Linked DNA regions of Caenorhabditis elegans. The protein of the gene in region 1 interacts with the protein of each later gene in a pairwise test. Each region holds a gene or a part of one and is shown in the gene's direction. Other genes may lie near its edges.

Region 1 (4,972 bases):
TTTCAATAAAATTTATAAGAATTATAGACCATGTGAAATCTGGGTTCTATAATGTGAACATAAAATATGTTTTTTCATCAAAAAATTTGCCAATTTTCTCTGACTCTGGGCCACGCCTCTTTTGTGGGCGGGGGTACGACGCGAGACTCTTGATCAATTTCGCCCTGTTATAAATGTTTTCCTACTTATCAACTAGTATTGGGTTACTTCATATTTTTTCGAGTTTTTCAGAATTTTTAAAATGTGTTCTCAGAAGTTACAATCAACTCACCGATATCCGCTGATTGTTGAGCAACTGTTAATGAATTTCTCTGTGCTGGAATACAAATATGATCATTTACAAGTGAATCTCTATGAGCATTCCCATTTTGATAAGCTCCGTCAGATGACGTGGCAGTATGACCTAAATTTTTTCAATTAGATTATCGATTCCTTACGTGGTTTTCTTAGAAACTTGCCATTTTGTTCTTTGTCTTTTTTGCGGCGAAGTCGCCCGAGAAAACTGCTCATTTTTCAATATTTTATGACATTTTCTGAGTAAAATTTAGAAAATCGAGCTTTATGAAATAAATAGAAGGGATTTATTTTTGTCCACAAGAGGGTTATCAACTTCTGCGCACCCCCTGTCTGCACGTCTCCGTCTCTTTTCTCTAAAGCACACGACAAACGCGTCAACGACCACTCGAAGAAACGAGGCAAGAAAATATATGTCAGCTGCGACCTTTTTTTAGCGTTTAAGAAATATTTTCTTCAATATTCTGAGAGAAATTCAAACTTCCGCCATTTTACTACAATAGTAATTGGTTTTTTTAAATTCCAGTCGAGACGCAAGTTCCCAGAGTTGATTGTGTTCCTTTACATTCTAGCGTTTTTCACGTTTGAAGTTTTCAAACTATAGCAAGTATAAATGCTTGTGTGTCAGATTTTTTTGTAAAATATTATTGAATTTTTAAAATTTTACGAGCTAATTAGTTTTTTAGATTTTAAAAACCCTGTTTTTTAAAAAAACACATCTTAAATCCAGTTCTTTCCATAAAATAGCAATATTCCAGGCGAGACCAAGGTCAAAATGTTAAGTATGTTCCTTCAAAGCAACCGTAGTTATCATTCAAATTTTTTTTCGAATTTTTTCGGCTCTAATACTTTATTCCCATTTGTTTTTTCTTTTTAAGTGGGGTTTTTTGCAGAAAATGGAAACAGAAACCGCCACAACTCCAACAGGAAATACGGAACCCACCGCTGCAGCTTCCGCCGAACCACCAAAGTCAGATAAGGTGACCGTAAGGCTGAGGAATATCGCAGATGCGCCAGTTCTTAAAAATAAGAAAATGGTGGTGAATCCAACGGACACTGTTGCTTCCTTCATCTTGGTAAGAATTGAAATTCTTAAAAAATGTGAAAATAATATTATTTTCTTCCAGAAATTGCGAAAACTGCTGAATATTCAAGCCAACAACTCACTCTTCTTGTACATTGATAACACATTTGCCCCATCTCCTGACACCACGTTTGAGGTTAGTTTTAATTTGAAAAACTCGATATAATTTTATAAAAATCAAATTTTCAGACGCTATCCCGATGTTATTCTGTGAAAATCACCGATAAGGAGATTCTGGAGCTTCAGTACAGCATTACACCGGCCTACGGATGAAAAACATGCGAAGCGGGATTTTTTAAATGTATTATATGTACTTGATGTCACAATAAATTCACTTATACCACAATTTCATTTTTACTTTTCAAAAAAATATAATATGTTTTTTCAAGTCTTTATCTACTTGCTATCTCCACTTCTCAAAGAAAGTAACAGGAAATAAATTTTAAAATATTTCAGATCTCTAGATAAAAGATAATGAGCAAGGTAAGTCTTAGAACTTTTTTAAACTGAAAAATTGAATCTCAAATTTAAGAAAATCGATCACGATGAGGATGATCGAGATTCGTCGGAATACGAGGAAATGGATGATGATGGGGAAGAAGCTGAGATTGATATGGAGCAACACGAGATGATTTATGAAAAGGATATTGAGCCGGTCGAGCAGTTTCAGCAGGAATATATTAGTGATCAGGAGCCAACTTCGAGCAATCATGAAGAAATTCCTGTTAGCATGAAAATTGACTACGAAGGTTCATTATTTATAGAACTACTGGAAAAATTGAAAAAAATCAAGTTTTGAAGTTTCCAAACATTTTTTTGGGAAATTGAAAATTTGATCTTCCAGGTCCAATTTATCTTTTGAAAAACTTTTAAAATTTGAGAAAAATCAAATTAAACATTAATTTTTACAGAAGTCTATCCACACAACGCCGTTCAAGTAGACAATGCTCACGAAATGGTTGAAGCTGAAAAAGTTTATTACGAGAATGAAATGGAAGATCTCGTTTATCATGAGATTTACAGAATTGAAGGCAATCAGAAACAGGAAAATTATAAGAGTATGTGCATTTAAAACTGGAATTTTGATTATTTAAAAAATCCGGTTAAAATTGCTAAAAAACGAAACAAAATTCAAATCTTTGCGAAAGGAAATCCAGAAAAAAAAATAACATGACCTTGAAATTTTCAGGAATCCGAAATATAGTTGGATCAAGCGCCTCCTGTCTCGTCTGCCAACGTTCCGAATCCGAAAAAATCCGTCTTTTCAAGTGGCCAAAATCAGAAGAACTCAAAGAGCAATGGTTACATTTCTTTCGGCTTCCAGCTACAGTACTTCAGAGTGCAACACAAGAACCATATATCTGTTGTTATCACTTCTCAGCCGACACTTTTGTCATGGTTAGTTGGAATTCTACGAATTTCATGAAAAAAATTATCTCAAAGCACGGAATTAAAAAAAAGAAAGTTTCTCCAAAAAAAAACATCAAAAGACCCATTTTCGCCAAAAACACAAAAAAAAACCAAAAAAGGCAAGTCCAACGATATTGGGAAAATTTGAATTTGTGAAAAAGTTTGAATATTACAAAAAAAGTTTATAGCAGGAAATTTTTTATTTTTCAAGCGAGTTTTTTGAATTTTGAATTTTTCTTTAGAATTAATATTTCTTTTCAGATCGATGATCGAATCTTCTGGAAAATGACCGCACTTCCAAAATATCGACAACGTCGTCCGGGGCTCGCCGAGCCATTTCCATGGGAGCCCGCTGTAAAGCATAAAATGGAAATGATGCAATCAACCGATACAACCAACAATTCTTCAGTCGTCGAGTACAAAATTCGCTATCGAATGCCTTTTAATAAGCATAAAACACGAAATGTTCATCAAGTTGCAGTAATGACTCCAGTTGCTCAACCACATTTATATTATGAATTTCATTTTAATCGATATGGTTTGAATAATACGAAATTCTACGCGTGTTTGAGTTGTCGAAAAGCAAAAACTGAAAGTGGAATTCGTGACGTCATTCGGACAATTCATCTCGATGGATATAAATTTTTGAGCAATGGAGATCCATTTAATGGACATCATTTTGCATGTAGACCTCATAATGTCTACGATTACAAGTATGTTTTTTCTTTTAAAAATATGAATTCACAGGATAAAATTCGATCAATGGGTCTTGGCAAAACATTTTTCAGCTACCGTACCCATGACAACGGTAGATTTGCAATACTTTTTCTTAAAACGTTTTTCAGTGATAATGTTGGAGAAAATTATTTTATTCATTTTTTCTATGTAATACAGGGAAACACTTCCACAATTTTAATTTTTATTTTTTAAACCTCCGATTGTCAAGAGAAAAGAAAATCTACCGTAACCGGAGGGTACGGTTGCCATAAAGTTTCAGTCGGGGCAAGACCTGAATTCAGATTTGAGTACAAAAATCGTGGCGAGACACGCCGAGGAAACATGTTTGCGTTTTTAAAATAGGCTTTCAAATCGTTTCAAAAATGACAATATACTTTAAGCATTTGATTTTTTTCTGATTTCCTAATCACTTCTTTTCAGATCATCTTGGCGTCCAGTTCCCGGTCAAAATGGAGAAGCCAATTTTCTCGATGAGGTTGTCTACGTTGATGAGGGTGGAAATTCCCTGGAATGGCATGCCGTGACCCGTCCCGGAGACAATCGAGAAGTTGAAGCGGTGCATGAGAAAGAGGATCCGCCGATTATGATGTATGATGGTAATTTCGAAGATCCCATCACCGAGGAAGTGATCGAAACGAATTATGTCTTGGATGAACCACCTGTACTATATTCCCAAGATCCGGATCGCAAGCCTAAGCCATCGAAAAAGTCCAGAATAAAGTGCCATCTATGCTTGAAGACCAGCTTTTCGTCAACACAAAGTCTGGTTGATCATCTTCAAAAGCACATTCTCGATGAGAAAGAATGCAAGCGTTGCCAGAAGCGGATCTCGTGTGATTCAAGAGCAATATGCATTCGGAGAGGTGTTTGCGGGAGTTGTTTTGTTGTTTAGATTTTCCTTGTTTGCATTTTTTCAAATCAATAAATTGTTGTTCGTTCGAAAAATATATTATAGGATTGAGAGAGATAGAGGAGGTCTTGCTGTGACAGCGTGAGAGATCTAGAAAAGAAATGAGCTGGGCCCATACAATAGAAAGCTTGTGTAAGAGAAGAAATTGGATTAGAAAATGAAACAATGATTTGGAAAGTTCATCTAATCACTGTCATCATCTTCATCGTCGCCTGCAGCGGCCGCGTGAGCTCGATTGACTCTCTTGGATGGTCCCTGGGCGCTCAATGTCTGCAGAAGGCTTGTTTGACGACCATCACAGGCGACCACTTTCAGTCTGAAATATTAATAATTATAGATCATCGAGAAACAAAAATTTTTATAGAAAATTAATAAACAATTGCTTTTTTCTAGATTTTTTATTTTTAATACAAATAAAAGAAACACTCACTTATCAATAGGCTCATCAAACGATCGCTGGGGATCTTTCAACGTGACATTATTGAGAATAAACGTCCAAACGTTATCACAATATCGATAAGTGAGCAGTTGTGTCG
Region 2 (3,640 bases), on another chromosome or scaffold:
CCAAACGCATACATTCGCGCTGATAAACTTCTTGAAGTCAGAAGAAAACATGTATTTTTGCTCACTGTAAACATTTTCAGGTTTCTCAACGCCATGCATTGGCTGACATTCGTGATCAAATGGAGCAGCACATCATGACTAATGGTCGCATTGCAGCTCCCCCGCTTTCTGCCATTCAGCATCCTTTAGAAATGTTTGCCAGGCCATCAACTCCAGATGAGCCAGCGGCTAAATTGCCACTAGGACCAACTCCTGTTAGTACTCGTGGTCCAAGATATGAGCTACCAACGAAGGAATTGCATGACGCGGAAGGTAAAAATTGGCAGCTAGTTGCAATTAATGACCTCTGTTTTAGGTGCGATGACCTATCCACCGTCTCGCTGGCCATTGGATCCATCGATGTTTGCTCTAGACGCTTGGAATATGGCACATCGGCCAGCTAGTCCACTCGATTCGATGGTTTTGGGTTCCGCTCCAAATGCTGGCTCGTTCGGAATGCTCGGAAAGCAAAATACTCCTGGAGGAGTTTCTGGATATTCATCTGCTGGATCCACGCCTTCTCAGGATCTCAGTTCTTCGTCACTCAATGCAGCATCCGCAGCTGCCGCTGCTGCATATTTCGCAAATTCTGCTGTTGCTCAATCTCTTCTGATGAAATCTGTCGCAACTGATCCAATGATGTCATGTAACGGACCATTCTCTCCAATGCCAGGATTCGATCAATTGGCCGAAAATATGACCAAGCATCTCAATTTGTGGTGAACAACTTCTCTACATTTGTCAAATTTTTAAACACTTTCAATATTCGTGTCCCCCATACTAACTAATAATGCGTGCATTTGTGAATATAATAAGTTTTAGTCGACGTGTTCTTGTCCCATAGAAACTTGGCCCAATCGTCAAAAGCGCCCATTCCCATTTTAAATTCTCGAAATTAATATCGAATCTTGTGATGTATATTGTAATTCATCGAATCATTGAATGTATTCCAATTTTCACCGCTCGAGTTCCCGATTGCCTTCTGTCTCACTAATCCCTTCCCCAATCTCAAAATAAATTGCACCTGCCACGGATCATAATTGTGATTCTTTTTTTCTATCTTTCTTTCTTCTCAATGGCTCCGATACTGCCCGTACGTATTTTTCTTTCGTTTCTTTGTTCATTTAAAATTTTTATCCGAAATTTCCTTCTTGATCCTCATTGCAGGATGTAGTAAATTTTTTTGATCGATTCAATTTTCAAATTTATTGAAAATCAGGTTATATGTTCCAACACGAAAACTATCTAAGTACGTACCATGAAAAAGCAAAATAATATTGCAATTCAAGTTAGCTTTGTTCTCAATATGAGAACATTACGGTTTTAAAGACTTTATATGCATGCATGTTAATTAGTTTTTTCCCAACCGTTTAACCGATAATAATACATTTATTTTTTTAAATTTTAAGCTTCGCGTTCTTGACTAGGTCATAAATTGTCGATATTTATAAAACTGTTAATTGTGGGTAAGCTTGATCAATCACTTGATTAAATCAAAAGTGTCTAGGCTCTATTCAAAATATGCGCCAGTCAACACTATTTGCGCATTTTCAGTGCGTTTGCGCTTATTCTGTTGAACACTTGCTTTACAAACTCGCCCTGCCTTTTGTTGTTCTACTAAACAAGCTCTCTTTGCCGTTAATCTTCAATTTTTTCAGTTAAAATATGAGCGAAGAGCCGGCTGCAAAGCGAATGAAAAATGCCGATGAGTTCCCAAATCTCCGATCCGAAGTAGCTGGTCCCGTGAAGGAAAAGCTAATCGAACTAGACGCCATTCAGCACCAACTAGATGTGATGAGTGAAAACGCTGCCGAAGAAGTTTTGAAAGTCGAGCAGATTTTCAATCAGAAACGTCTTCCGATTTATGAAAAAAGAAAGAAGCTGACAACAAAAATCGACAATTTCTGGCAGACTGCTTTTCTCAATCATCATCTTCTTTCAACTGCTATTCCGGAAGAACAAGAGGACTTGTTAGCCGCTCTGCGAGATCTTGAAGTGCAAGAATTTGAAGATCTTCGCAGTGGATTCAAAATAATTATGACATTTGACCCGAATGAGTACTTCACAAACGAAGTAATTACAAAGTCGTATCATCTGCAATCTGAGTCACCGAGCACCGAAATTACCGAAATCGAGTGGAAGGAGAACAAGAAACCGCCATTCGTGAGTTTATCTTTATAATCCCTATTGTTTTAATCGAATTTTTTCTAAAACTTTCGCAATGTAACTCTTCCAGAAGCCGGAAGACGGAGATTCAGCTCACACGTTTCTTGAATGGCTCACGTACGCAGCACTACCAGACAGTGATGAGATTGCTGAAGTGATCAAAGACGATCTGTACGTCAATCCTTTGCAGTACTACGTGATGCCCGACATGCAGGAAGTTGAAGAAGACGATATCGAAGACTTTCTGAATGAGGAGCGCGGTGTAGATGAGGTATTAGAAACACCATTATGAGGCTACTGGATTTTTGAACAATTTTCAGAATGGACAAAGGATTCCTCGTCGGAACATAAGTGATTCACTGAAGGTTGATCAAGATGAAAGTGCGGATGGGCAAGAAGGAGAGGATGAAGAAGAGGAAGATATGGGAGAAGAAGAAGAAGATGGTGTTGAAGAAGAAGCGGAGGGTGAAGAAGAAGAAGAGGATGGAGCAATTGAAGAAGAAGGTGGTGATGAGAATGTTGAAGCACACGTTGCAGTCAACCCCGAGAACACTGCAGAGTAGCTTGTGAAGCTGAAATTTGTTGCATACTAATTTATTATTCCCACCGTGTGTTATAATTGTCATTTTTATCATTTATCAATCGATCCCGTTTTTGTAAGTATTTATTCACTGCCGAGTATTTTTGCGGCTCTATCTTCAGCTTGATTGTATTCCTATATGTTTTTGACATGATTCCAAGTATATTCGAATCAAATGAAAGATCTGCATTGAATACCGTCTAAGAGTCCTACAAAACAAATGGTAATTGGCCGCGAAGTTTCCTTTTCACGTAGTTCTTGAACAGTTCAATCTACTAACTTGCTCATTCGCCTCTTTTCAGATGTTGCTCACATGTCGTTTCACAGCAGCAACTTCTAGATTATCGGCGTGTACTCGGTCCTTTAGCATTGATTTTTCTCATGAAAAACCAGCACCTCACCAATTGGAGCATGTGACGACCCGTCTCACTGAAACTGTAAATTAAAAGTTTTTTGTGGGTTAACTGAAACAACTTGAAGGTTCCGCTCATGTTCCGCCGACGAATGGATTATACTTTTTATCGAAAAGACGTTGTTTGTGATGATCAAATTTTCTCAGTTGAAAAGCGAGGAATTGAACAGCTGATGAGCCATTTTGGAATGATTGGAACATTGGGACAGGTTTATCCAACCTTTTTTTTAGAACAATGTTTTTGAAAAGAAAATTGGCCAAGTCTTCGTTATCCAAGATTCAAAATCTTTTAGGTCTTCTTGCCACACGTGGAAATGGAAATGTTATCAGTAGCTCCAGTCATTGACGAAGGAACGGTTCGTTGTAGATGGAGAGTCAAATATGTGTCATTTACTCGAATTATTATGAATCCACGCCTTCTTCGATTTGATTATCGAATGCAA

The links.
Region 2: the proteins of B0336.7 (region 1) and spr-2 interact in a two-hybrid assay, tested with the Caenorhabditis elegans proteins (2 studies listed by BioGRID).

The regions. Positions count from the first base shown.
Region 1 is NC_003281.10:5,694,229-5,699,200, reverse strand, and holds B0336.7 (THAP-type domain-containing protein), read left to right. Parts: upstream 1-1,834; 5' UTR 1,835-1,852; coding exon 1,853-1,861; intron 1,862-1,907; exon of another isoform or gene 1,908-1,910; coding exon 1,911-2,127; intron 2,128-2,289; coding exon 2,290-2,436; intron 2,437-2,567; coding exon 2,568-2,776; intron 2,777-3,049; coding exon 3,050-3,501; intron 3,502-3,946; coding exon 3,947-4,418; 3' UTR 4,419-4,472; downstream 4,473-4,972. Other genes in the region: Regulator of G-protein signaling rgs-5, read right to left, coding at 272-403, 459-510; lgg-3 (Ubiquitin-like protein atg-12), read left to right, coding at 1,191-1,370, 1,422-1,514, 1,568-1,651; B0336.13 (Transcription initiation factor IIA small chain homolog), read right to left, coding at 4,620-4,752, 4,867-4,972.
Region 2 is NC_003282.8:8,889,771-8,893,410, forward strand, and holds spr-2 (Suppressor of presenilin-2), read left to right. Parts: upstream 1-1,691; 5' UTR 1,692-1,704; coding exon 1,705-2,202; intron 2,203-2,275; coding exon 2,276-2,476; intron 2,477-2,525; coding exon 2,526-2,768; 3' UTR 2,769-2,973; downstream 2,974-3,640. Other genes in the region: CCCH-type zinc finger protein oma-1, read left to right, coding at 1-36, 81-312, 356-762; C27B7.2 (Phospholipid scramblase), read left to right, coding at 3,088-3,222, 3,266-3,406, 3,491-3,640.